4 linked regions of the Notamacropus eugenii genome follow. The protein of the gene in region 1 interacts with the protein of each later gene in a biochemical or structural test. Links are inferred from orthologs where the notes say so. Each region holds a gene or a part of one and is shown in the gene's direction. Other genes may lie near its edges. The genes, in order: ERBB2, PLCG2, CRKL and PTPN3.

Region 1 (7,399 bases):
TTTGGGGGACGAAGAGACAGGAGGGAGTTTACCCTGGTTGTCCTGGTTATAACAGATACGTTTGTATTCCTGGGGCCTATTGAGGTGCCTAATAGGCATCTTGATTGGATATCAATAAGTAATTGATAGGTAATATAGGAAAAACCCAGAGAACGTTGTACACAGTAAATGTGTGTGTGTGTGTGTGTGTGTTCGTCCTTCATTGCTGAAGAAAACCATGCCATCAGAGAAATAATGACATGACTTGCACTTCACTTTGTTTTGAGTGAGGGAGGGCTGGGTGGTGCGGTGGATAAAGCACCAGTGCAAGAGTCAGGAGGACCTGACTTCAAATCTCACCTCAGACACTTGACACTCACTAGCTGTGTGACCTTGGGCAAGTCACTTAACCCCAATTGCCTCATCCTGGGTCATCTCCAGTCATCCTGATGTATATCTGGTCACTGGATACAGATGGCTCTGGAGGAGAAGTGAGGCTGGTGACCTTGCACAGCCCTCCCTCACTCAAAAAACAAAAAAGTCAAGTGCAAGTCATGTCATCATTTCTCTGATGGCATGGTCTTCTTCGGCAACGAAGGATGAACACACACAGTAGCTATAATGTTGTAACAATGATCAACTGGAAGAGACTTGGCTACTCTGATCAATACAGTGATCCAAGATAATTCCAGAGGACTCATGACAAAAAAAATGCTATCCACCTCGAGAGGGAGAATTGTTGGATTCTGAAAGCAAAGTGAAGTATAATTTTGTCACTTTTTAAATTTTTCTTGCACTTTTTTGCAATATTGCTAATACGTAATTTTTTTGCATGATTTCATGTGTATAATTGATATATTGCTTGCCTTCTCAATGGGTGGGAGAAGGAGGGAGAGAAGAAAGAATTTGGAACTCAAAATTTAAAAAGAATGTTAAAAATAAATAATAAATTGAAATGGCTTATAAACATAGAATCAGATTTAGAACTGGAAAAAACCTTAGAGATCATCTCAACTAGTACAACTCCTTTAATTTATTTCCTCAAATGATATAATGAATATAAAACACTTTGCAAACCAGTACTCTAGAAATTCTAGCCATTATTTGAAAGATGAGGAAAACCTGTAAAATGAAGTTATGGGATTTGCATGAAGTCACACAAGCAGTAAGCAGCAGGTCCAGACTTAGAACCTTGGATTCTTGGATTCTTGGATTCTTAAACCAGGTTCTTGGACACCTAATCTAGCACTCTGAATTGAATGAAGCATGGAGAATAATGCAGGTTAATTAACACATAGATATATAGGCATAGATGTACATGCACATATTAATATACAAATTCAAACTCAAGTGTGTGTGCACACTCTCCTTAAGACTTAGATTCAGGGCTGGGATCTGTAAGCCCAGGGATGAGGTTAAGCCCAGGGATGTGGCCTGAACCTCGGACTTTTTCTCTCCTCCCCAGTGTTTGTTTTCAATTCTTTGACCCCAGGGTGGCTGGGGAGATGGGTGGGGTTGAAAGGGAGGAGACTCCTAGGAAAGCACTCCTTTAGAGATACACACATGCTCTGGCACACACACACACACACACACACACACACACACACACACACACACACACACACACACACACACACACACTCAAACACACACACACACACACACACACACACACACACTCAAACACACAATGCTCCATGTGTCCCCAGGGCCTTGATGGCTAGTTAATGATTGATGGTATTTCACATGCCATTGATTCCCAGACTCTAGCCAGGCGACCCTTAGAGGTCACCCCAGAAAGGTGGTGCCCCACGCTCTCCCTTCAACCACCAAGATCTAGGGAGGAGACTAACACTAGGAATAGTAAAGCAAAGCTGCTGCCTTCTAACCCTCACCCATGTCCTCCTGTCTTTGTCCTCCATTTTCTCTTTTTTCCTGTCCTTCAGTCTCCTGCCACCTACCCTTCATCCTTCTGGCCTTCAGGCTTGTTTCTGTCCCAAAGTTTCCCTCAAAGCTCCCTCTCTTTTAGTCATTCCCCTGTCACTCTCTCTCTTTCCATCATTCCCTCCTCTCTTTGATCCTTTGTTTTGTTCCCTCCTCCATTTACCCCTCTCCCAGCACCTCATTTTCCTCCCATAGTCTATCTCTGTGTGCCTGCTTTCTTTAATGTCCCCCATTCTCCCTTGATTTCCCATTCCTGATCCTCTGTCCTATATATAGAGAGAGTATTTACATATGTACTGTATATAGTCACCTCTATTTCAGTCTCCTCTCTCCAAAGTTCCCCACTGCTCCTGACCCACAAGACTCTCCCTCTCTAATTGTTCCCTCAAACTCAATCTTTCTCCTAGCCTCTCCTGCCAGGCCTTATGGGGAGAGGGGGGGAGTTGGAAGCACAAGGAAAGGGAGATTTGAATCTGCTGGGCCCACCCCCTGCCCCCTCTTCTCTACTCTTTCAAACAGCAGACAAGAATTTTCCCCCCTTCCTTCCTAGCTCTGAATAAGCCCATTCTCTGTCTCGGGAGTCCAGCCCCTCCGTGAGCCTCCTCCCCAGGAACAGAGATCTAACTTCAGCTCCTCCTCCCCCCCCCCCACCCTCTTGTCTGTCTAACCCCTCCCCTCTTTTTGCCTCCCTCCTTCCTCCTCAGCCAGCCACTGACACCTCATTGTTTTTCCAATGAAGACTTCTGGCTAGGAGGGTGACTCTGGTCTGGAAGGAGGCGACCTAGGCAAAAGAAGTGGTCTGCAATGGCTCCATTTGTCGTGTGTTCTAACACCCTCACCCTCAAGGTTTTCATAGGTAACCAATGGTTTCTGGTCAGAGAGGACACTGATGGGGTCCTTGATTTCTTACTATTGAGGCTGAATCAAAGCCTAACATCTACCCCACCTAGTTGGTCTTCCTAGTCTGCTCCCACCCCAGCTCACACATAGAGTGGAAAACTGGGGAGAAGGAGGAGGATGAGAACAGAAGTAAGAATAGGGAAAGGGGGGGGGGCAACTCTTACTTTTTACACTTTCTCCCTCATTAAGATGGTATCACTCAGCTCCCCACACCCTCACTTTCCCTAGGCTTCAAATCTCCTGTGTGAGCCAGTCAGATTTCACTGACAATAACAGCTATCCTTGTGTTTATCTTTGTTCTGTGTGTCCCATATTCCCCCCACCATGGACTGGAATAGCCTTGCTTCTCCCCTACCAGGAGCATCCTGGTTAGGAAAAAAAAAAAGAGCTCTGGAGAGAAAGAACTCTGAGGACCTAAAGAATCCTTATGGGATGAAGGGGACCTGAAACAGAAGCCCCATAAAAGGGACTCTGGACCCAGAGAGAGTCTATAGACCATCAGAGACATTCCCCCCAAAGGAATTCTGCACAGAGACTCCCCAGATGGGTACATACCTCACAAAGGAGACCCTAAACGTATGGAGGATGCCTTGGGCAGAGAAGTTCCACATAAAGACAGTGAACAAAGGGACATACAGACACTCCACAGAATCTTCAAAAGAGAAAACTCGCAGAAAATCCCCAAATGGACGAATCCTGGGCCCAGAGAGACTTATACAGAAGGCTCTGAACAGAGACCCATGTGAGGCAGCCTCGGTCCGACACCAAATTGAGGGGGCTGCTTAACTAACATTAACTAAATCTGTCCCTTCCCCACCTTGTAGTAGTCACTTTTCTGAGCCTGAGTTACTGCCTTTTTCTCTCAGAGCCTGAGAAGAGGATGCCTAGAATATCTCAAACTTAGTATATTCCCTTCCCTATCCTTCCACAAAAGAACTGGAATTTGCGATCCATCCACAGACCAAGGGCTCTGTAGACATTTCAGGAGGTCTGTGACCTTGGATGGGGAAAAAGAAATCTTTTATTTTCACTAACTTCTAATCTAACTGAAATTTAGCATTTCCTTCAGTTACATAAAAACATTATTCTAAGAAGGGCTCCATTGGCTTCATTAGGCTGCCAAAGGGGGTCCATGACACAAAAATAGTTAAGAATCCCTGTTCTAGAAGAAAGGGTTGGAGTAGATAATTGAGATGAGGATGAGCATGGGGGAAAGGAATGGAGCTTGTTAATAAAGGGAAGGGGAGCCTGGGTTAGGAGAAGATGGGGAAAGGCAGCCTTGATTAGGGTTCCCTCCAGATTAGAGGGTTGTGTAACAGTAGACTGGGAAAGCCTGGTGATGGCAAAAGTAAAGTATCCCGTCTGTCCCCAACCCCTCCTTCCAGGAACAACAGGTTTCTAAAAAAGTCTCTAGATTCAGGGGAGATTGAGGCACCCCCAGGCCTACCCAGGGAGATAGAAAGTAAAGCTGGGAGCAGCCACTGCCACTCCCAGAGACTTGTTGGAATGTAGTTGGGAGGGGGGGGGGGGGAGGGCGGGATCGAGACCGAGCAGCGCGCTCCCGAGAAGGAGGAGGAGGAGGAGGAGGAGGAGGAGGAGGAGGAGGAGGAGGAGGAGGAGGACAAGCAGTGACTGCTTTGAGGAACTACAGGAATGAAGTTGTAGAGCTGAGATTCCCCTGCAATCCTGGCTAAAAGAGAGAAGTCAGCAAAGAAGAAAAATACCTCCACTGAGCCAGTGACTCGCTCAAGGGGATTCCTGCCCGGATTGGGGTGCTTCCCAGGATCCCCTTATCTCCCAGCTCTTAGGTTCCATCGGTCCTCCTCCTGAGCCTGGGAGCCATGGGCCCCGGGCCGAAGTGAGGACTATGGATCTGTCGGGCTGCTGCTGTTGGGGGCTCCTTCTGGTCCTCCTGCCCCCAGCAGTCTGGGGAACCCAAGGTGAGTCCGACTGGGAGAGAACTGTCTGCAGCCCTTTCCTGCAAAGAATTCTCAAGGGGAAGAAAAACTTAGGGGCACATTTGACAGGGATGAGGAGTGGGAGTGAGGAAAGCAAAGATTTAGAAAGCATGGGAGTCAATAGAGAAGAAATATGACCAAGCCTCCGGGGGAAGGGGGACTCCCGGGAGGGCCTGGGGGGATGAAGTCAGAGAGATGAAGCCAGATCAGGGAGGTAGATAGGGCAGGGGGTAAAGTTACATTGAAGGGGCCCGACATAGGGCTTGGGTCCCAGCCAGCTCTTGTCAAACGGGGAAATAGTCAAAAAGTTTTACAGAATTGACCAGAAGGGGGAAAAAAGTCCTGCTAAGTTTTGTGTGTGTGTGTGTGTGTGTGTGTGTGTGTGTGTGTGTGTGTGCGCGCGCGCGCGCGCGTGCGTTTGTGTATTCGCGTTCATATGTTCCTTCTGTTTGACTCTTAAAATCCACAGCCACTAATCTCCAGACTGAACTGGGCTGGGCTGGCTTTCTGGGGGGGGGGGGGGGGGTCCTAATTTGTTCTTCAATCCTCCCTCCTCTCCTGCCCCCCCACCCACTCTCTACCTCAGGTTGTTACTACTCCAATTCTGCCTTGGGCTGGGGGGGTGGGGTTGGGAGGGGGCAGAGAGATAACCAGTTGGACCAGGAGTGGGGAGAGAAGAAGGTTGTAGGTTTGCTTGGATGTTACCACACTCACTAGTGTGGGGAGGGAGGCCTAGAGACGGAAGAAAAGAGGGGGCGGGTAGGGGAGACAGTTGTTTTGAATAAATTTCTTCTGGGCCAGTCTGGGAAGGAGAGAAAGGCTTAATTTTGTTGGGCTTAACTCGGCAGGTGTAAGGGATGGGACATAAAGAGGGGTTCTGGGGTGGTCTTGGGGCATGGGGGAGAATTCCAAAGGTTGGGGACTTGGCAAACTAAAAGGGACCACTTGGAGCTGAAAGGGTAAGGGCTGTTGCTTTTGGTTTGGCCTTTTCCTTCATTGAGGGTGGAGGGAGAAAGGGATGAGGTGGGATAGGACTGAAGGCTGTTGAGGGCAGCATACACTTGAGGAGAGGATCTTGGCGGATGTTGAGTCTCTCTCTATGTGCCTCTGGGGGCGGGGTCTGTGTGTGTCTCAATGTCTGTAAGTCTGTTTTGTCTGTATGTGTGTGTTCCTTTGTGTTACCAAACAACGCTGACTCCATAACTTGGGTTCTGGGGAACTGTGCTCTTTGCATACCCAGGATCTTTGAGATGACTGAGTCAGGTTTGCTGGAAAGCCCCAAATAAATGTATCCCATCCTCTCCATTTGGATCCAGAACATAGTACTTAGCTCTCCCTCTCTGACCCCACATGTTTAGCTTCCCGACCCGCAATCCAGAATCTCTTCAGACTCTAATATTCTGGCTAAGGCAGGACAGTTAGTGTGTAATCTGGATTCTTGAAACTATGTTTTTGTTCAACTGCTGAAAAAACTGGGTGACCAAGAAAGGAGGCCTGATGGGAGCTTCTGTTATGTTGGTAATATGGGTCTATAGTTCTCTCCCTGCCTCAGTTTCTTTACCTTTGTGCCTCAGTTTCCACAGGTTTCCCTACTACTGTTCTTATGCTCATATTTTTAAAAAATCCTTGATGGACCTGTTCAAAGGAGAAAGGAGATGAATATGTTGGGGATGGGGGGTATTGAGGAAGGAGGGGAAGGGATAGTCAAAGGGTCAGTTCTTCATACAAGTTGCTCCCTATCCCGTCTCTTCAGGGGCAGCATACTGTAAGGATATGTCATAGGTAATTCTACCTAAAGGAAACTACCTGTGAGGCTACAGGAAGGGGCATTGAGGAGGGACTTCAGAGTCTGGGCAAGGGGAGTGAATAAAAGGCAGAGAGGTCAGACTTTTGCCAGAATCCTATCTCATAGGCTGAGGAATTATTGACTTTGAAAGCCATGTAAATTCTCAATTTGTGTATTATCTACAGCTTATGCTTATGATTATTAATACTGAGGTTGGCTCCCCTATTATCCACCATTCCCTCCCCCGCATTAGTGGTTGTGCTCCAGGGAAGTAAACTCATTTAAGTATTAAGTAAAGTATAATGGGGAAGATAAATTCATTGCATTTCAAAGGTCAAAATAAAATACTTTGATTTTGTCATCGATGACTAACTTGTGAGACTGAGAGTCAGTCACAGTCCCAAATTCACTTTCCCTAAAGGCAGCATCCTGAAGAGTGCCATTTCTCTTTTTCTAGAAAAATAATTCTGACCCAGTTGTCTAGTCTTCCAAGGGACCAAAAAAAAAAAAAAAAAAAAAAGGAAGGCATTGTCTTGCCCAAGTCGTGGAAGTTCTTCACCTCTGTTGCAACCTTGGACCCCTTAGACAGTATGATGAAACCTATGAATCCCTTTTCAGAACAGTGTTTTTAAATCATTTAAAGATGTTATATTTCAGTTAGAAGTTAATGGAAATAACTGCATTTTTTTTCTCCATCCAAGTTCATGGACACCTTCCCCCCCAAAAAACCCATGGTTCATGGACCCCAGATAAACAGCCTTTGCCCTCTGGTGTAATATAAAATGCTGGACTTAAGCCAGAAAGTCCTGGGTTCAAATGCCATCTATGGAGC
Region 2 (7,103 bases), on another chromosome or scaffold:
ATCAGGAAAGGTCTTTTTTGTAGGAAGTAACATCTGAGCTGAACATTGAAGGAAAGCAGGGATTAATTTAATTTTGAGAGTGAGTCCCTTCTCAGGATTTTTACTGGGGAAATTACCTGGAAAAAATTCAAGCTGATCTGATCTTAAGGTCCAAGACTGGCCCAGGGGGCAAAATGAACTTTCTCTTTCTGGACAAATTTGGAAAAAATGAAAGCTGAGCTTTGAGCCTTGGGTGACCCGATTTGTACAACTTTTAACTTAAAGATTGCCTAAGAGAAGCTGTATCCAGGTATATGTAAGATATTGGGGCTGGGAAAATTCAAGTCTTACTGTGATCAGGCATAAACTGAGTTGATGATGCAGAGGAAAAGGAAAGTGAGAACTTCAATTTGGTTGGTCAGTATCATGAGACAGAGTAGCTTGTGGATTTGCAGTTATCTTTTTTTTTTTTATGCTAAAATCTTGGCTGTACTTGTACAGGTATGTATCCTAAACTGTTTGCTGTTCCTAGTGCCTCTATGATTCCATCAATAGAGGCACTGTTTATAATACCAACAGAAGTGACCTTTAGAGTACCTCTGAAGGAGGAAATGGCTGGGGCTGATAGGTACATTTGTTTACAGACTACAGTACCATAAATGGTTATTTATTAAAATGCTAGTGACTCAAAACATAGTAAGGACATTGCTGTTTCTATGGTAAGAATTCCTGCATTCTATCCCATCACGTCTCATCCTTGGGTCACCTCTAACTTTGTTCGTTCAATCATTTCAGTTGTGTCCAACTCTCCATGATCCCATTTTAGGTTTTCTTGGCAGAGATACTGGAGTAATTTGCTATTTCCTTCTCCTGCTCCTTTTACAGATGAGGAACTGAGGTAAATAAGGTTAAATGACTTACCCAGGGTATCTAGAGGCATCCATAGGTTTTTGACCTTTTAGCAGGGTTCTAGCATGGAAAGAAAGTGGGGGGGCAGTGACCAAGGGTCTTTCTTGCCCCTCCATACTTATATTATCAATCTAGAGGTGGAAGGAATCTCAGAAATCATCTAGTTCACCTCCTCTATTTTACAGATAAGGAAACTGAGGCTCAGGAGGTTCAGTCTTGCTCCCAGTGTCACAGTTGTAGTGAAATTCAAAGGCAGAATTAGAAGCCAGTTCTTTTGACTCATGGGTTGGTGTTTTTTCTACAGTATCATGAGTCTGCTCATCTGTGCAATGAACTGGAGAAGGAAATGGCAAACCATTCCAGTATCTTTGTTCTAGTCAGCCCTCCAAGGTGGTAAGTTGCAGAATATTTGCTGATTTGAATTGGTAGAGGGAGTTCCTTTATCAGGAGTTTCCTATACTGGACTCCCCTCTCCAAAAAAAAAAAAAAAAAAAAAAGGAAAACCACAAGAGGCCAGGGTGTTACCTTAAAGAAGACACACATTTCTTGGCTATATTTTTGGTCATAGGTGTAAACTTGCTGGGGGAATATCGGTCACCAAAGTGCCCCCTCATCTTCTCTGTCCTGGGGCCAACACGATTACTTACAGGCACCATCTTCTAGCCAGCCCTCTCCTCTAGGGCCCAGTTTAGAATCTGGAGAACTTCAGCTTATGATTTCTGTCTGAATTTTATTATCCAGCCTCCTTTTCTCTCTACACCAGCAGATAATCCTCTTCTTCCTCTTAGGGAATCATAAGCACAGTCTCAGAATTTTTGGAATTGTTCACCTCTCCTTTGTTTCCTTCAGGAACAGGCTCTAGTCAAACCCAAAGTTTAGCCACTCCTGTGCCTGACTGTGCTAAGACTTTTGAAAGTCTCCAGGCAAATGATCTCTAACCGCTTTGTTCCTCACTCTCTCACCATCCTTCCCTTCCCCTCCCCAACTCAGCCCCCCCCCCCACCCCAGCCCTGCAGCTGTGACATCCCTCAGGGACTGAAGGAGATACTTCAGAAAGTCCTAGACTCTTTGAAAGACACCACATAAAGTCAAAATGCAAGAAAACTTTTTTGTTTAGCATAGTGATTGTAATTTTTGGAATTTCACAAGTCCCCTGTCAATTCCATGAGGCATGTGTGAGGATATGTAGCAAAACACCTGTAGGAGAGAGAAACAGAGAGAGAGAGAGAGACAGACAGACAGACAGAGAGAGACAGAGAGAGAGACAGAGAGAGACAGAGACACAGAGAGAGAGACAGAGAGAGACAGAGACAGAGACAGAGACAGAGAAAGGAACTGGGTTTTAGTGTCACATATATTTAGAGCTCTTTGACTTTCAGAGGAAAGAAATCATGTCAAGGCTTAAGGCTGAAAAGAGTTATCTAATCTAGTCCAGTACTCCCTTCTACAGATGAGGAACATGTATCAAAGAAGAACAGGACTTTCCCAAGGTTATACAAGTAATCACAACTATATCAGCTGACATTTATATAGGAATCTAAGGTTTGTAAAAGGTCTACGCACATGATCTGATTGGTGCCTCCAAATGACCTTGTGAGGGAAGTGCTGTGGAAGTATTATTATCCTTCAGTAACATAATCATCACATAAGTAGAACAGGCTACCTCTGGAGGTAGGGTGCTCTCCCTCATTGGAAGTCTTCAAGAAGAGGTTGGGTAATAACTTGGCAGCTATGCTATAGGGGAATTTGTTTTTCAAGTGTGTGTTGGGTTAGACGGCTTCTAAATTCCTTCCAATTCTAAAATTCTGAATCTTCAATTCCAATTTTACAGATGAAGAAACTGAGGGGCTAAGGTGTTGTTCCATCAACTTAGATCTTATGAGACCTCCAAAAGGCTCACTACCAGTTCAGCTCTCTCATTTTATAGTTCAGCAAACTGAGGCCCGGAGGAAGTTGGATGACTTCTTCAAATTCCTATAGGTACTACATAGCAAAATTGGGATTTCAATCCGAATCCTGATTCCAGATCTAAAAATTTCCCCCCTGCGCTAGACTTGAGCAAGGTTACTCAGCTAAGTTTGAAGACAGGGATAGTTTTGATTTCAAGTCCAAAGCTGTAGTTACTGTAGTTACCAGTTACTAGCTGTAGTAAAAGAGGAGAGATTAGAATCTTCTGTCTCCAGATCCAGGGCTCTTTACATGGCCACCCTGTCCCTTAAGGGATCCACTAAGGAGGGAAGTGGTCTAGAGGGTCCTCCCAATTTTGATATACTTTGACTCTTTGTGAGTTAGCACAGTGTTGGGACTATACATGTTATATCAAACTGAATTTTGGTTAAGGAAATGGTACTCTAAATCACTGTGAGAAGTTGGTTGTCAGTTTTATTTATCTATGTCTTTATAGAAGGGGCAGTTGGCCAACGTCAGGGGTCTTCAGATAGAGATGTAAGAGCACCTCTTAGTATCTAGGAATTGTGCTAAGCAAGGGTTGCAAAGGAAGACAAAATAAAACAAAAAGACAGTCCCTGCTTCCAAGGAGCTCACAGTTTATTGAGAGAGACCACATGCAAACAACTAGGTATAAACAAGCTACAGGACAAGTTGGGGGTGGTCTCAGAGGGAAGGCCCTAAGGTTGAGGAAAGGCTTCTTGCAGAAGATGGGACTTTAGCTGAGACTCAAGAAAGTCAGGGAAATTAGGAGGCAGAGATGAGGAAGGAGAGAGAACTCCAGGCAGTGGAAAAGCTCAGTCTGGAGATGAAGCATCCGGCCAAGGAGGCCAGTGGCATTGAGCTCGGCGGGGAAGGTAAGGTGTAAGAAGATTGGAAAGGCCCAGGAGGGGTGAGGAGGGCCATCTATCAAAAGCTTTGGGAGACAAATAGAGGATTTCATATGTGATCCTGGAGGTAACAGGGAGTCACTGGCGCCCAGAGTCTGCTTTGCAGAAACATTAGTAACCATAAAAAAGGAACTTTTGGGGGTGGGTGGGTGGGATGCCAAGGAGAACCCAGAGCCTGTGGCTGAGGGCTCCTTCTGGCTCCGCTTGGCCTTAATTCAAGGCTGGTCTGCCCGGAAGCTTCTGCAGCAGCCAACACCACCGAGCACCCCGCCCCGGGCTGGAGGAGGGAGGGCGGGTCTCCGGGGAGGCAGGGACCGGGCCGGGGCAAGGCCGGCCTGCAGGGAGGCGGGTGATCACGTGGAGGGCTGAGCTGGGAGCCTCAAGCAGAAGCAGAAGTTCAAACTGTTGAGTGAGGAAACGGCCCCTGTGGCAGGAGCCAGAGCGTCCTGGAGACCAACCGGGAAAGGGGCGGTAGCTGCAGCCACAACCCTGACGTGCAGGGGTCCTGGGGGGAGTCCTGGGCGGCAGGCTGGCCTCCCCAGCTCTGTCACTCACTCTGCACTCCTGCCCAGGGGCAGAGCACCCTGGTTACAGGTGGTGAGTTTGGCGACTGCCCCTGGGGAGGGGTTGGGTCTAGCGGAGTGTGAGCTGCCCGTCCTGGCTGGTGCCAGGAGGGCATGTTACGGATGCATGGAGGCATGCATGTGGGCATCCAAGTAGGGATGTGCGCGGAGTGGATGGGGGACTGCCGAAAGGAACGGACTCCCCCTTCCCCGTCAAGCATCCAAACTGAGTCAGGGGGTGCAGGATTTCGGGCTGTCGGTCTGGTCCCTGTGCCACCCTCCATATCTAGTGCGTGTGTCTGCTGCAGAGAAAGAGTGACTCTCGATCTGCTGCCACTCACTGCTTCACTGCCTGGACTCGGGCAGTTAGAATAAGCCGGGTATAGCTGGGTCCTGGGCACCCCCTGGGGGACAACCACTCCCTCTAGGGGCCGCAATTTGGGGGAAAGGGGGCGCGCCAGTCCTGTTGAGGCGCTACTTGCATTTCGCAAAAGAGGGGAAGGAAGCCGTGCAGCTGTGGGCTGGGTGCTGCTGGCCAGCTGCTCCCCTTCGCCTGTCCTGCTGCGAGGTGCTCCGGAGTGTGTGCGGTGGGAGGTGAGGGGCAGACATCTCGGGTCCCTCACTTTGTCTGACTTCCGTGATCCCTGGTTGGGGCTCAAGGATCACCTTCCCTTCTCTCCCCTTTAACCCTTGGACCTCCTGCGTTGGAATCTTCCAACCTCCTCTCCTGGGGTTCGCCCACCAAGGAGAGCCCCAAACACCTCGATCCATCCTGAACTCCCTGTGTGGTGCTCTCTGCTCTAGACAGACCTGTCTTCCTTTTTCTTTCACTTCTCTTTTGATTATTCCAGCTCACTTTTCTCACTGTTGTGTGTCCAAATTGTGGTCTTCCTCTCCTTTCAAAACTTGAATCTGTACTGTGTGTGGAGCATTGTCCTAGGCACTCTGGACATACAAAGTTTAGTTGCAAAGTCGAGGGAGGAGGGGCTGGAAAGCACAGCCTGTAGAGTCTGGGGCTGCCCCCTGGAGTGGTTTGATCAGGGGCTGGTGTGGACGGATCTCACTCTTCTGTGGCCGTGAAGACTCGTTAGAACAGAGGACTTGAGTTTCTACATTAGTAACACCACTTCACAGTTCGGTCCTGAGATCTCTGTAATAGGTTTCCTTTTCCTCTCTTGATGTTATAAGCAAATGAACAAACACAAAATGGTAAAGTCTTACACAGAATCTTTAACAAGGTGTAATCAAAGTAAGACACAAGGAAGGAAACTGCTTGTGTTCCAAGGACTCCTTCAGGTCCGTATGGAGCTTCGATCTCTTGGGTCTGACTGTCAGTGTCTGCGTCTCTGCTTGTCACTTGTCGGTGGGGGGAGGGGAGAAGGGAATAAGCATTTATGTATCGACTGCTATGTGTCAGGCACTCTGCTAAGCACTTTTTATAAGTATTATCTCATTTGATTTTTAAGGTGGTGCTATTATTGTCCCCACTTTACAGCTGTGAAAAAGGAGGCAGAGTTGTGAAGTGAGGTGCCCAGGGTCACACAGCTAGTAAGTGTGTGGGCTAGATTTTTAACACAGAGGTCTTTCATCTGTCCACTATGCCACCAGCTGTCTCTAGTCAATATGCAGAAAGATTTAGCTCTGCTAATTCCATTTTACATCATTTCCTAAAGTTCTTTCCATATTTCCTCATATGATTCATATTCATCATTTTTGATGGCAGAATAACATTCGGTTAAGGCCTCTGGCACTTTGGACGGGCGCTCTTTGGTGAAATTGTAGAAGGGCATGAACAGGAGTGGCATAGGATGGGGAAGGCATGTATTGTTGGAGGGAACATTCAAATTGCTGATATCACAGATCATTTTGGGTGTAATGTTCCATTATATCAGTATGCCATAATTGATTCAATCTTATTTATTCTTCAATTTTTAGACATAATGTTGTTTAAAATCTTTTTTTTTTTTTTGTTATTTCCAATGGAGCATATCTGACCGTTTTTTGTACAGCTAGGTCCATTCAGTTATTCTTGGGGTTGGGGGATTCCAAGAAATGGGATTGTTCCTGCATATTGTTCTCCAGAATGTTCGCAAGTTTTCAGTGGGGGTGAGGTGGGAGATCAGGAAATATGTATAAATAGGTTCTACCACATTAATGCTCAGAGATGTCTAAATTTCGGCTTTAGAAATAGACATTTTTTTTTCCCCGGAGGATATTATCATTTGACTTCCATAACTATATTCTGGGAGAGGAAAATACTTCAAAAACAACTTCTAGTATTAAAGTATCAGAAGTATTAAGCAACTAGAAAATCCCACCGTTTCTTCCATTTATATCTAGAGGAACTCCTTGTGTTTCATGTCTGTAGGGTTTCTTTAAAAGATGAGAGGAAGCACAGAGTAGTGGAGATATAGCACTTGTCTGGCTCCTGGCCCCTCCAAAGCTATGTGACCTTAAGACACGTAACTCTTCTGCTTTTCAGTTTCCTCATTTACAAAATGAGAATTGTAGAATCATCAATGCCAAGCTGGGAGGGCTGAGAGGTCATCTGCTTCAACCCTGTCATTTTTCAGTTGAGAAGACTGAGACCCAAACAAGAGAAGAGAAATATTCAGGAGTATATCCTTTGACCCAGCAGTACTGCTATTAGGCCCGTTTTCTAAGGTGATTAGACAAAAAGGAAAAGAACTTTTATGTTCTAAAATATTTATAGCAGCTCTCTTTGTGGTGACAAATAACTGAAAATTGAGGAGATGCCCATCTATCAGGGTTTGGCTGAACAAGCTGTAGTATATGATTGTGACAGAATACTACT
Region 3 (6,847 bases), on another chromosome or scaffold:
ATATAAGTTCTTCCAGGTTTTTTCTGAAATCTGCCTGCTCATTATTTCTTATGGGAAATAGTATTCCATTACATTCATACACCACAACTTGTTCGGCCGTTCCTCTACCATTGATAATTCCTGAAGGCAGCCAGCTAGCATGGCAGATGGAGGGCTAGGAAGACCTGAGTTCAAATCCTGACGCAGACACTTCCTAGCTGTGTGACTCTGGGCAAGTCACTTAACCTCTGCCTGCCTCTGTTTCCTCATCTGTAAAATGGGGGTCATAATAGCACCTACCTCCAGGAGTAGTTGTGAGGTTTGAGATACTTGTAAAATGCTTAGCACACTGCCAGACACAAAGTAGGCACTTAATACATGCTTGCTCCTTTCACCTTTCTGCCATTCAAGAAGCCTTTCCAGAATAGTTGGGCTAGTTCACTACTCCACCAACAACACACTGGGAGCCTGTTTCTTCATATCTTCTCCAGCATCTGTCATTTTAGCGTATCTGGTGGAGGTGAAATGGCTCCTCAGAGTTGTTGGCATTTGCATTTCCAGGAGAATACCACCCTTCTAGACACCCAACTTCAAAATCTCTTCACTCTCTATCTAGTCCATCACTAAACTTTGTTCCTCTACCTCTCCCCATTTCTCCTCTTACATAAACAGCAAGTCTGATACAGGCCCTCTTTACCTCTCACCTGGACTATCACCCTAGCCTTCCACTCATCCCTCTGAGTCAAGTCTCTCCCCATCCAATACATCCATTACTCCCTTGTGGAGCATAGATCAGATTATATTAGACCCCTCACTCCAAACTCTCCAGTGGCTCCCTATTACCTCCAGGATTAAATCCTTTGTTTGGCAGTTAAGGCCCTACACAACATACTCCCTAAGATCCAGCCACCCTGGCCTAGTTACTGTTTCTCAAACAGAATGCATCATCTTTATCTCCATGCCTTTGCATAGAGTATCCCTAGCCTGGAATGCTCTCCCTTCCAACTTAGGTCTCTTGGAATCCCTGCTTTCCTTTCCTCCCCCCAGGTGCTGGTACCATTCTTCTACTCTGTGTTGGCACCCCCATTAGAATGCACACTCCTTGAGGGTGGGGATTATCGATTTTCTTTGTACCCCAGAGTTCAGCACAGCACTTGGCACATGATGCGGGCACCTAATCAATGTTTGTTGATGGATTGGTTGGTTCTATAGGTATCCATGTAGCACCTTGGTGTCTGGCTTAGAGATCATCTCCTCCGAACACTGAGCCCCAGAGGAGGAGAGTGGCTTGTCCAAAAGTCATACCGGTAGTAACAAATCGACCCTCCTCCCTTTCTGTGGGTCCTACCTGAGATACCGGGGTAACCGCAGTATAAGCAGTCCAAACTGACTGGTATTGGCTTCCTTAAACCTACTGGATGGCAACATGTCTCTGTGTTAGTTATCCACCGAGGGAGCACCATACCTGAATTTCCCAGCAGGTGGAATTCTTTTGAACCATTAACCTAGTAGTCACTTCTGTGGAAAGGTCTCCCAAGAGGTTGCTATATTCCCATTAGCCACCAGAGGGCAGTGAGCGGATAAATATCTAGGCTGCCTCCTCACTGCTGGGTTTCAAGCAGTTTAAGCTGAGTCTATAAGGTTCAGAACTTAGCTAGGGGCAGAGATGGGCCTCAACGTCTCCCTTCTCATCTCTGCCTCTGCCCAGTAGCCAAATAATCTCCCCTGGGCTAATCGCCAGCTTCCAGGTCCCCTGCCGCTTGAGCCTTGGACCACAGAACATCTTGTTGATGGAAGTCTCCACATCTCAACCCAAGTCATGGGCTGCTTTATCCCCGTGAAGTGGGGCTGGCAGGAAGTGTGGCTCTCCCAGAGGATCTGGGGGAGGGAAGAAGAGGCACCAGCAATGAGTTGGAGCCAGCAGCTTACCTGCTGCCAGAGCCAGTTCCCTCACAAGGCTGGGGCCAGGGTGGGGTGGGGAATGCCAGTCAACAGAACCTGGACTTTTGATCCCCCTGAATCCCCCCCATTCCTCAGGGGAAAAAGCAGGAATTCATAAGGGAAGAGGGTAAGGCCTGGGCTGCGGTTGTACAGGTCAGTACCACATAGGGAGCTTTGGGGAAGGATGGTGGTGGTGGATGAATCTGTCCTCTAGCATTGATTGAGGGCCTATTGTGTGCCATGCTAAGTGCTGGCATATAATGTGGGTCCCTGCCCTCCAGCAGTTCAGGGTCTAATGGGGCAGACAAGGGGCAAACCACTGGGAAGGGTCAAGCTAAAGACAGCTCTGCCCAGCCTAGGGCTGGCTTCTCTTGGGGAGCATCCTTGATGATGGGGATGGGCAGCGATGCTCAAGTTGCCCGGTCTGGGGTATGCCCTGGTGGGAATGGGGGTGAGGCAGAGGCACTCAGTATAGGGGCTGGCAGGGGAGTCCTGGCTCTGGCCCTGGAAAGAGCCTGGCATCAGGAGCCTTCCCTAGGTGGTGGAGCCTCAGTTTTCTCCTCTGTAAAACGGGGACTGCCTCCCAGGTGTGGTGGGAGGCCTGGCCCCTACTAAGCGCTACCTACGCGTTCAGCCTTGGCTTTGGGGGGACCAAGGAGATAGGGGTGCGGCCCGACTTGCGCCCGGACTGGACTTCGGTGGAGCACAGTGGCCCCAAGTCTGGCGCCGGACACGGGTCCGGAGGACAGCCAAGCTCTGTTTCAGAACTCTCCCCGGCCCATTCTGGGGGGGCAGACACCCCCTAACTCAGCCAAGGGGCTGGAGCCCACTGGTCGCCCTTAGCTTTGCGGGGTGTGGCCGGAGCACGTGGGGGAGCCACAGGTGACAGGTAAGTGACAAGCGGACCCACCCGAGGTGCAGGAGCCCTTCCCGGCCTCCACACCCCGAGGGGAGCCTTTGGGACACCCAAGGTTGGGTTGCTGCTGCCCAGGGACCTCGGAGAGTCAATCTTGGTGCGGATCGTCACTAATGAATACGGCTGAGGAGAGGGCGTCTTTGGGACTGATTACAAATGTAGCTTAGGTCTGATATTGATGCGGATCGTTACTGGTATATACGGCCGCCGGGCCTGGGCGTGGGTCAGGGACCCCCCGCCCGAGGTTTGATTTGGGTGCGGATCATTACTAGTACATATGGCTGAGCTGGAAGGTAGGAGGGGCGTCGTTACGGATCACTACGGCCCAGCCGGCGGGCCGCCCCCCGCCCCTCCCCCCGCCCGGACTCCAGGCGAGATTTCCCCACCTCGGCTCGGCCTTTCGAAACCGAAGGAAGCGCCCGGCGGCCTCCGCTCGTCGCCCCGCCCCTCCCCCCTCCCCCTCCTCCCCTCCCCCTTCCCCTCCCCCTCTCCCCCTTCCGCTCCCCCCTCCCGTGCCGGGCGTGCTCCGGCGCTCACGCGGACAGGCGGGAGGGCGGCGCCGCGAATGGGCGCGAGCTCCGGGGCAGCGCGAGCGCCGATCCTCATTGGGCGCGCGCGGGCCGGGCCGGCCAACCGGCGAGGGCCCCGAGGGGCGGGGCGGGCGCCGCGCACGCGCAGAGGGCGCCCCCGAAGAGGCTGGGGAGGTGGCCGGCCGCCCGCCATTTTGTTGCTGGGGCTCTCGGGAAGCAGGGCTGCGGCGGAGCGGCGAGGCCGGCGGGCGGCGGGGCGGCGGCGGCGCGGGGCGGCGGGGCGCGGGCCCCGGCGCGCGATGGTGCGGGCGCGGCGGCGGCGGTGCCGCGGGCTCGGGGCGGGCCGGGGCCTGTGAGGGCGCGGGGCGGCGGCGGCGGCGGGCGCGGCGCGGGGAGCGGCCCTCGGCGGAGCGGCGGCGGCCCGAGCTCGCCCGCGGGCTTCCGTAGCCGGCGCGCCCCCGCCCGGGGCGGCGCGGCCCCCGGCGGCCATGGCGGCGGCGCGCTTCGACTCGGCCGACCGCTCGGCCTGGTACGTGGGCCCGGTGTCGCGGCAGGAGGCGCAGAGCCGGCTGCAGGGCCAGCGGCACGGCGTCTTCCTGGTGCGCGACTCGTCCACCTGCCCCGGGGACTACGTGCTGTCCGTGTCCGAGAACTCGCGCGTGTCCCACTACATCATCAACTCGCTGCCCAACCGGCGCTTCAAGATCGGGGACCAGGAGTTCGAGCACCTGCCGGCGCTGCTCGAGTTCTACAAGATCCACTACCTGGACACGACCACGCTGCTGGAGCCCGCGCCCAGGTGCGGGGCGGGGGGGAGGGGGAGAGAGAGAGGGAGAAAGGAGAGAAAGAGGGGGAGACCGAGAGAGAGAGAGAGGGAGAGAGAGAGGGAGAGAGAGAGGAGAGAGGGAGAGAAAGGGAGAGGAGAGAGGGGGAGAGAGAGAGAAAGGGAGAAAGGAGAGAGGGAGAGAAAGGGAGAGGAGAGAGGGGGAGAGAGAGGAGAGAGGGAGAGAAAGGGAGAAAGAGCGAGAGAGGGAGAGAGAGGAGAGAGGGAGAGAGAGAGGGAGAAAGGAGAGAAAGAGGGGGAGACCGAGAGAGAGAGAGAGGGAGAGAGAGAGGAGAGAGGGAGAGAAAGGGAGAGGAGAGAGGGGGAGAGAGAGAGAAAGGGAGAAAGGAGAGAAAGAGGGGGAGACCGAGAGAGAGAGAGAGGGAGAGAGAGAGGAGAGAGGGAGAGAAAGGGAGAGGAGAGAGGGGGAGAGAGAGAGAAAGGGAGAAAGGAGAGAGGGAGAGAAAGGGAGAAAGAGCGAGAGGGGGAGAGAGAGAGAGAGAGAGAGGAGAGAGGGAGAAAGGAGAGAGGGAGAGAAAGGGAGAGGAGAGAGGGGGAGAGAGAGGAGAGAGGGAGAGAAAGGGAGAAAGAGCGAGAGAGGGAGAGAGAGGAGAGAGGGAGAAAGGGGAGAGAGGGAGAGAGAGAGGGAGAAAGGAGAGAGGGAGAAAGGGGGAGGGAGAGAGAGAGAGAGAGAGGAGAGGGGGAGAGAGAGAGGGAGAAAGGAGAGAGGGAGAGAAAGGGAGAAAGAGCGAGAGAGGGAGAGAAAGGGAGAAAGAGCGAGAGAGGGAGAGAGAGGAGAGAGGGAGAGAAAGGGAGAAAGGGGGAGAGAAGGGGAGAGAGAGAGAGAGAGCAGAGGGGGAGAAAGGGAGAGGAAGAGAGAGAGAGAAAGGGGGAGGGAGAGAGAGAGAGGGGGAGAGAGAGGAGAGAGGGAGAGAAAGGGAGAAAGAGCGAGAGAGGGAGAGAGAGGAGAGAGGGAGAAAGGGGAGAGAGGGAGAGAGAGAGGGAGAAAGGAGAGAGGGAGAAAGGGGGAGGGAGAGAGAGAGAGAGAGAGGAGAGGGGGAGAGAGAGAGGGAGAAAGGAGAGAGGGAGAGAAAGGGAGAAAGAGCGAGAGAGGGAGAGAAAGGGAGAAAGAGCGAGAGAGGGAGAGAGAGGAGAGAGGGAGAGAAAGGGAGAAAGGGGGAGAGAAGGGGAGAGAGAGAGAGAGAGCAGAGGGGGAGAAAGGGAGAGGAAGAGAGAGAGAGAAAGGGGGAGGGAGAGAGAGAGAGGGGGAGAGAGAGGAGAGAGGGAGAGAAAGGGAGAAAGAGCGAGAGAGGGAGAGAGAGGAGAGAGGGAGAGAAAGGGAGAAAGGAGGGAGAGAGGGAGAGGAGACAGGGAGAGAGAGGAGAGAGGGAGAGAAAGGGAGAAAGGGGGAGAGAAGGGGAGAGAGAGAGAGAGCAGAGGGGGAGAAAGGGAGAGGAAGAGAGAGAGAGAAAGGGGGAGGGAGAGAGAGAGGGGGAGAGAGAGAGGAGAGAGGGAGAAAGGAAGGAGAGAGAGAGAGGGAGAGGAGAGAGGGAGAAAGGAGGGAGAGAGGGAGAGGAAGAGGGGGAGAGAGAGGAGAGAGGGAGAAAGAGGGGGAGAGAAAGAAGGGGAGAAAGGGAGAAAAGAGGGAGAGAGGAGGGAGACAGAGAAAGGGAGAGAGAGGAGAGAGAGAAAGGGGGAGAGAGGGAGAAGGAGGGGGAAAGAGAAGGGGAGAGAGAAAGAGGGAGAAAAGAGGGAGAGAGAGGAAAGAGAGGAGAGAGGGAGAGGAGAGGGAGAAAGGGAGAGAGAGAGGAGGGAGACAGAGAGAGGAGAGAGAGTCTGCGCTCTTGTAATTTTCATTTAGATCTTAAGTGAGCAGGGTCCGAAGAAAGTGCCCATTCAACCCTTGTTGGTGAGGCCAAATCCCATCATTAAATGGGGGAGGTAAAGGGCTGGCTCAGCACATACTGGAGACACTTTTGGAACCCAGGTCCCCTGACTCCCAAGCCCACAATGCCCCAGCTGGCTTCCATTCCCACACTTGGTGCCCCTGGGGTGACCTTGGGCAGCAATGGCTCTTGTGTGAGGTTTGACCCCCCCCCTCTCACAGGTGAGCAGATCCAGGCCGAGGTAGTAAGATACCCTGCCATCCTCATAGCTAAGAAATGGGGGGATTGACCCCCAAACCCTGGTCAGTTCAGGGATAGGGGCACCCACTCATGTTTCTTCTGGGCAAACAGGTGACAAAGTAGAAGCTCCTGGAGAGGGGACAGGGACAGCTTCTGCTCTGACTCTAGACCTGGTGTTCTAGACCGAGTTTGGACTAGATGAGTTCTAGTAGGAGTGTGGGAGTTCTGCTCCACTGCTGATTTTCTGAGTGACCTCCAATGATAAGTAAATCTCCTCAGGGCTCTTTCAGTCAATAAACATTTATTAACTGTCATTTTCTGTACCACATGCTACTAACCTGGAGATACAAAGAGGCAAAAGGCAGTCCTTGCCCTTGAGGAGCTCAAAATCTAATGGTGAGATGACAAGCAAAGGAGCATGGACATCATAGACAGGACGAAGAGGAATTCCGTTAGAGGCAGGCATTAGAATTGAGGGGTGGGGAAGGTTTTCTGGAGGAGGTGGGTCTTAAGCCAGGGAAGTCAGTAGTGG
Region 4 (7,109 bases), on another chromosome or scaffold:
CATTCCAGGCCATTGTCAGTCATCGTGCCACTGGACATCAGTGACTTGGGAAGAGAGAGTGAGGCTTTTGTGTAACTCTGTCTCACTTAAATCCAGTTGAAGCATGAGTCAAGACAATCACCACCATGATGTCATTGGTCCTCTTTGGAAACGGACAAACAATAATGGTTATTGTATAGTATTATACATTTGTTTATGTCCTATTCCTGTTGCTAGATTGGACTCTCCATGAGGGGAGAGACTGTCTTAAATATCTTTGTATATTCTTCTTCCCTTTTCTCTCCAGGAGACTGGGAGACTATAGTTGTATAAAATTGCATGTACTAGAGAAACAGTTGTTGCATTGGTTGGTTTTGCTGGGGGAAAATACATATGTAATTAAAAAAATCTTTGTATAGGATCATAGCCTTTAAAAGTGGAAGGGTCTCCAGCCCTCTCCTTTCATAGATGAGGAAGTTCATCCAAGACGTGAAGTGATTTACCCAAGGTAGCCAAGATTAGAAGAAGGATTTGAACCTATCTGACTCCAAATATCTTTTTTATCCCACTGTTCTTCACTGTTCTCTTGGTGCTCCAAGAAACTCTCTAAGATTGTAAGGTACAGAGCAAATGCCCATCTGCATCCTTAAGGAGGGAGTTTCCTCACTGGGAGTTCTCTATACCAATATAATCCTAGGTCACATACAAAGAAAAAAGAAGAGGTGTTATTGCATGGATGAATTCATGCTTCTCTACCATTCCTCATTTTGTTTTGCTATCTCTAATATTCTCCCTATCCTACTGTATGTTCATATTAATCTTATTCATTAGGTCTAGTTCCAGGTTTGCCCTCATGTGGTCCTTTGTGGTCCCCTGATCTTCTGCAGTTATTAGAACTCTCTTCCCCTTCACTGTGTATATACTTTTCCATGTATCTTAGTTTTGTTTTGTTCAGAGATAAGTTCTTTTAGTTAGAAACTCTGCTATATACTTCTTTTGTATACAGTGTCACAGAACCAAGCTCACATTCAGTCTAAGTGAATTGAGTTACAGAGTTTCTTGGAAACAAGTTTGTTGTTGTAGTTCTAGATGTAGTAATCTTTTTTATTTAATAATTTATTTTGCTGTAATCTCAGTCATTAGTTTTTGACATTATTATTTGCAGTTTACCAATCTGTGCATTTGGTTTAGTTGAGCATTAAATATGCAGTCGAGTTGTACAGTCTAGTATGTATACAGCTATTATGCAAAATGTATTTGAAAGTCTAATAAAGAACTGAAAAAATTGAAAAGGAAAAAGATTGTTAATGACTGGGAAGATCAGGACAACCTTCATGGAAGGAATGGCATTGGACAGTTGAAAAGGGTCTCTGTTCTTGGTATAGTAAATGGTACAAAGGAAAGCCCAATCCAGAGGATCAGAGAAATCTACAATGTGGCTACATGTTAGGGTATTTGTAGTCAAGTAGCATGAGATAAAGCTAGAAAGACAGGGGGTCCTAGATTGTAGATAGCCTTGATACATAGGTAGAGAAGTATGAAGTAGGGAGCCTCTGAAGATTTTTGATCAGATGAGTAATATGATTAGAATTATGTACAAAGGCAACTAATTGGGCAGTAATATAAAGGGTCATAGTCTGGACGGGGAAGAGAAAGGAGAAGAGAATTCATGTTGATTGATTATTTCAGTTATCCTGCTAGGTGATGGGAGCCTGTATTTGGGAGGTGAGGAGTTGGATATGAAAAATGTTACTGAGGAAGAATCAGTAGGACTTGGTAACTAATTCAACATAAGAATCTCTTGGAGACTTAGTGAATGTTAGTGCTGTGGATGGAAGTAGTAAAGATGGAAGAGTAGATTTAGTAAGAAAGTTGAACTTGGTTTTGGACACATTGATTTGGAAAGGCTACTGTGATATTCAATTGGAAGAGTTCCATAGACAATTGGGGATATAGATAAGAAGAGATGAGATGTGGGAGTCATCTGTGTCCATCAGTGCTCTCCATAATGGAGACTGTAGATTGATCCCTACTTAGGCAATGGCTTGATCCCAAGAGATGTGTAATCCTCCAATTGGAGGAGAAGATGAATGGCATCCCACCTGCCTTTCAGTGTTCAATCATGGGATCTCTCCAACAGAACCACACTTACCCTTACCCCCAACACTACCCTGCTCTGCCTCTTCTTTCTGCTGTGCATGCTTCCATCTTCACCCTTTCTGAGGCTAGTTTTGGCTCTTCAGGACAGTTATAACTTAATCTTCAACATAGGCACCCATAGTAGCACCTGGCTAAGTGCTATTGGAAAAATCAACTACTTCCCCAAAAGGAAACCCACCTTCTTCCCCCCAGATTACCTTGTGACTGTGACAGTCTCCGTATTCCTAGGCAGTGACCCTTGAATGAAATCCTTGCCGTTCTCTTTTTCATTTTGAGTCTTTTGCACAGAACAGGTGGGCATAGGTGTGTAGTGATCTTCATCATAGATCTCAATACGTTATCTTCCTTCCCTTCCACCTGAAGCCCACCCATTATTTTCAAGAACACTGCCATGTTTCCAGTTGCCCAATTGCACAACATCAATGTCATCTACTCTTCATGTTCCTTTACTTCACACATACAGTCACTTGTCTAATCTTGTTTCTCTCACCACGTGTCTCAGGCTGATTCTTTTCTCTACTCACACAGCCTAGTTCTGGCCCCGTCATCTTGTCTAATCTATTATGAATTTGCTAATTGGACTTCCTGCCTCTCCTCTCTGCATTCATAGAACCTATAGCTGTCAAAGTGATTTTCCTAAATTGAAGGTGTGATCATTTCACTACCCTACTCAATAAACTCTAGTGGATCTTGCCCACTTTAACTTTACAAATATTTCATCTTTATCGCATCCTTTCTATTTGTTTTTGTGTATGTAAATTTTATAATGCATAAAATTGAGTACAGTAGTGTCATATAATTTACAAATAAGTAAATATACATACGTTGTTGTGTGCTTGACCACTAGCCAAAAAGTTTTGGAGACCACTGGTACAGATAGATGAAGAGTACTGAATTCCTTTGCCAAAGGACAAAGCATAGAAGAGAGAGCTAAAGGGAGAATCTTAGAGAATACCTACTTTTGGGGCCAGAAAGAGGAAAAACAGCCTAGGAAGGAGAGAGAAAAGAAACTAGTTTGAGCTTGTGTGCTTGAAGTGTTGAAAGAGAAAGTATTCCAAACGACAGGGTCATTAACAGTGTTGTATGTTATAGACAGGTCAAGAAGTGGTAAGGGATGGTAATACTTACTGAATTTGGCCAGTGGGAGGTCATTGGTGACCATTCAGAGAAGTTTCATTAGAAATGTAAATGTATAAACTAGATTTCAAGGGAGTGAGGAAGTTGAGACCATTTTAGATACTGTATTCTCCCCACTCCCCACCAAAATAATATGTACTATAGGGTAAGGGAGAAATGGAACAGTAATGATTGGAACAAACTTTTTTTTTTTTAGGATTAGGGAGACCAGAATATTTTTCTAGGTAGATTGTTAAGGAATCAATAAAGAGGAGAGATTGAGGATGTGTGGGAAAGAGGGACATACAAAGTGATTGTTTAAGTAAAGGCCTTGATCATGTGGTAGGAGGTACGGATAGAGGGAATACCCTTAATGAAGGGTATTAACACATCCTCTGACTAGAGGGAAGGAAGAGAGAGCCAGAGATGATGCTGAGTAGTTACGTAATGACCAGAAGACTCTGGAGGCTGGGGAGCTCACAATTGCTGGCCTCAATCTTTTCAGTAAAGTAAGTGGGAGATTGTCATCTGCTAAGAGTACTAGAAATATGGGTGGGGTTGCACTTAAGGAATGAGGAAAAGGTTTAAAAAGACATAGGGAGTCAAAAGGAGAGTAGGATTGTTGAGCAATGAGAGCCCAGCTGTTTTATAACAAATTTTTAATGGGTGACATCACCTCAGTGTCATGGCTTCCTTTAGCATTACTCAGCAGGCTAGGAACAAGAGCAGGGAAATTGGATTGAGAAGCCTTACCAAGCATGGGGATTAGCAGAAATGAAAGACCCAAATTTCTCGGAGTGGGGAGTAAGGGGTAGGGGTTAGGGAACGATTTGGCAACTTATTGTCTTAGAGAATTGCTTGTAGCTCTAAAAAGTTAAAGAGATGAAAAGCTGGTTTCATTTTAATGAGAGTGGGAGAGGGAGAAGAACAGAAGATTGCAATCAGAGAGAGGAATTTTGAAGGTCAAGGTCTCCAAGGTGGGTTGTGTACAGTACAGTGAGATGGCAAATGATAAATTCTTCAGACTTCAGTTGAAAAAAATTAGTTGAACAGGTTGAGGAATTATGTGTTCAGAATGCCTCAACATGAATAGTAATGATGAGTACTGGGAGTTAGGTGGAAAAAGAAACAGGGATCAAGGTGCTAAAATCATTGAAAAGGTTGAAAGAAGTACCTGGAGGTAGGTCAGTTTCATATCAAGCATCTTAGGTTTAAAGCTAGAAGAGACTTTTGAGATCCAACCATTTTATAGATTTTATAAATGATTTTATAGATATTTTATTTTATATTTCTATATTATATTATATTATTTATTTAATTTTATATTTATATTTTATAGATGAAAAAATGAGACCTTGTAAAATGACTTTCTCAAGGTCACATAAGTAGCAAATAGCAAACTGGGATTTGAACCCACAACTTGGGACCCCAGATTCAGTCTTCTTTCTACTGTGTTAATCTGAGAAGGTGGTGTTTATAGATTACATAGACTTTGAAGGGACAAAAATACTTTTTTGGGGGTGGAGGTGAAGAATTGAATATCTTCATTGTACCTCTCTCATTTCTTCTGTTTCTCATCTTTTCTGTACTATCACGTATTGTGCCTTCACCAGGGCCCAAGAATATATAAAAATGCAAATTAATCTATCTGACTAGCTAATGTACTCTTAAGAATCACAAGTTGTAATTGTTTGTGAGATGACAAACTAATGAGGTTTCTAGAATGGACAGAGTAGGGGCACAGCACCTTCTGGATCTGGAAAATCTGTAGAAAAAATCTTGGCCCTCTCTTTGTACTAGAGAAGTATGAATTTTTTTCTTTTTTTAATAGGGTATTTATAATGCCTTATTGTAAAGTTTGAGTTAAATATTTAAGCATAGACTCTGTGTCATCTGCTGGCCTTTGTGTGTCCTCTGCAGCTTCTACAAAACTCTACAAAAGTTCCCATTTAATTTCTTATACCATCCCATGATGTATTGAAACCACGGTGGGGAAAGTCGCGGTGTGGAAGGGATGACCATGTACCTTATGCTTTTGTGTTGCCCTCCTCACCATAGTGAATGATTACTATAGACAAGAGCTTACTCTAGTGTTGTCTAATTGATCATATTTCATGTTCGCTGTCTTCTTCAGTGTCCTTCAGAAAAGATTATTTTTTATTATGACTAAATTCTTCTATTCATGTTAGTTTGTATGAATGTGCATGCTCTTAAAAGAGAACCTGACATACTTCAAAGCATTTTAAGCAAATTAAATAAAAATATTTCCATTGGAAAAGGTTTTATCCTCCATAGTTAATGTATATTCTTTCAGGCATTACATTGTAGAGATATATTTAAGAACTAAATGAATGGTAATTAGCCATGTTTATCTACATTAAAAAGAAAAGAACACTTGTATTTGTGTAGGTGAAGGGAAGTACTCAGTGAAACTCCTTTGGTGAGAAATTCTCTTGAGTTTTCATTAGACCTGGAAAGGACCTCAGATAAATTTTGATCCAGTCCTCTCAAGAGGCCAAGTGACTGGACCAAGGTCATATGGATGGTATGTAAGTGCCAGAACCAGAATTTGAATCCAAGTCTTCTGATTATTAAATCCAGAGCTCTTTCCATTACACTGTGGTTTTTTTAGAAATAGGAAATGTGACTTAATGAAGAACTTATAGATGAACTAATTTATTATATAGATGATTATATATTTTTGATTCATATGGTAGATTTGACTTTCTTTTTTGTACAACATACAGACATGCAAACATTTGATTTTATAACTGGAGGAAAGGAAATTATGTTGTAGTGCTATTTAATAGGGGAGAGTTGTAAAAATCTGATTTCATTATTTAAATTTAGATGTTATGGCATGTTTGTATTTTAATATGCTTAAGATAAGACTAAAGAAAGGACTGTCCTTCTAATTATCCACGAAATATATTTTTCCACATAACTTGCCCTGCTCATCTTCTCTTATTACCAGTATAAAGGTACATGCGAATGAGAATTGTGAGATACTGTTACCTTATAACATTTTATGTTTTCAAGCCTTTATATAGATGTATTCACTCCCTAATCATTCTGAAACTACCATTTAGATATGTTGCTACCGAGTAGAAGTAGGTTACCTCTACCACATGACTCTGGGGCAGGCTTGCACAACTTTCGGTTTGCCAGAAGTGGTCCCATATATTTAAATTTACCTTGTTTGAAGTTCTAATTCTGTAAAATATGGTCCTTGGTTCCAGCCCAATGAAAATATGCCATGTTGAATTACTTGGACAAATGGGGACCTAGCTGTAATGTGAGGATCAATGAAGCAGTACTCCAGAAGGTGAAGAGACAAATGGGACTCAGGAAGACAAATACTCGTGAGCAGAGCAAGGCAGAGGTTTGGTTTAAGTTCTAGGAATGTAGTCAGAAACTAGGAAATCTCCCTATGAGAGTTAACAGTAGTGATCTAAGTTTCTTCAGGGCAGAGACTTGGGTGGTGGTAGTTATTTTTTGATCTTTGTATCCCAAGCACACAGAACGATACTTTGCACACAGTAGGCATTTAATGAATATTCATCGAATTGAATGGATGGCAAGAGGGCCATTAGGAATTGGGGAAACAAAAAAGAGTAGAAAAGATAGAATGTGTACATAGCACAGGAAAGGACATGGAAGGCAAGCACCTTGCTAAAACGAAGGCATTTTGTAGACCAACCTTATTACTGGTCATTCAAGGACCCAGGAGGCTGGCAACGCTTTTCTGCCACAGAACATTTTTGCCCTGCTTTGGTTGTTTGAGTTGTTTGAGTTTGAGTTTGAGAATTCTAAATTTAAAATTGAAAAGAACGTTAGAAGCCTTCAAGTTTATC

Evidence for each region.
Region 2: the proteins of ERBB2 (region 1) and PLCG2 form a complex in vitro, tested with the Homo sapiens proteins (2 studies listed by BioGRID and IntAct, with this or other methods). The link is inferred for Notamacropus eugenii from reciprocal best matches to the Homo sapiens genes ERBB2 and PLCG2.
Region 3: the proteins of ERBB2 (region 1) and CRKL form a complex in vitro, tested with the Homo sapiens proteins (2 studies listed by BioGRID and IntAct, with this or other methods). The link is inferred for Notamacropus eugenii from reciprocal best matches to the Homo sapiens genes ERBB2 and CRKL.
Region 4: of the proteins of ERBB2 (region 1) and PTPN3, one has a biochemical effect on the other in vitro, tested with the Homo sapiens proteins (2 studies listed by IntAct, with this or other methods). The link is inferred for Notamacropus eugenii from reciprocal best matches to the Homo sapiens genes ERBB2 and PTPN3.

Annotation. Positions count from the first base shown.
Region 1 is NC_092873.1:355,228,747-355,236,145, forward strand, and holds the start of ERBB2 (receptor tyrosine-protein kinase erbB-2), read left to right. Parts: upstream 1-4,380; 5' UTR 4,381-4,690; coding exon 4,691-4,763; intron 4,764-7,399. UniProt on the Homo sapiens protein: Protein tyrosine kinase that is part of several cell surface receptor complexes, but that apparently needs a coreceptor for ligand binding. Essential component of a neuregulin-receptor complex, although neuregulins do not interact with it alone.
Region 2 is NC_092872.1:542,870,893-542,877,995, forward strand, and holds the start of PLCG2 (1-phosphatidylinositol 4,5-bisphosphate phosphodiesterase gamma-2), read left to right. Parts: upstream 1-4,100; 5' UTR 4,101-4,322; intron 4,323-4,794; exon of another isoform or gene 4,795-4,882; intron 4,883-7,103. UniProt on the Homo sapiens protein: The production of the second messenger molecules diacylglycerol (DAG) and inositol 1,4,5-trisphosphate (IP3) is mediated by activated phosphatidylinositol-specific phospholipase C enzymes. It is a crucial enzyme in transmembrane signaling.
Region 3 is NC_092875.1:9,006,664-9,013,510, forward strand, and holds the start of CRKL (crk-like protein), read left to right. Parts: upstream 1-3,833; 5' UTR 3,834-3,854; coding exon 3,855-4,165; intron 4,166-6,847. UniProt on the Homo sapiens protein: May mediate the transduction of intracellular signals.
Region 4 is NC_092874.1:313,227,012-313,234,120, forward strand, and holds the start of PTPN3 (tyrosine-protein phosphatase non-receptor type 3), read left to right. Parts: upstream 1-4,090; 5' UTR 4,091-4,159; coding exon 4,160-4,232; intron 4,233-7,109.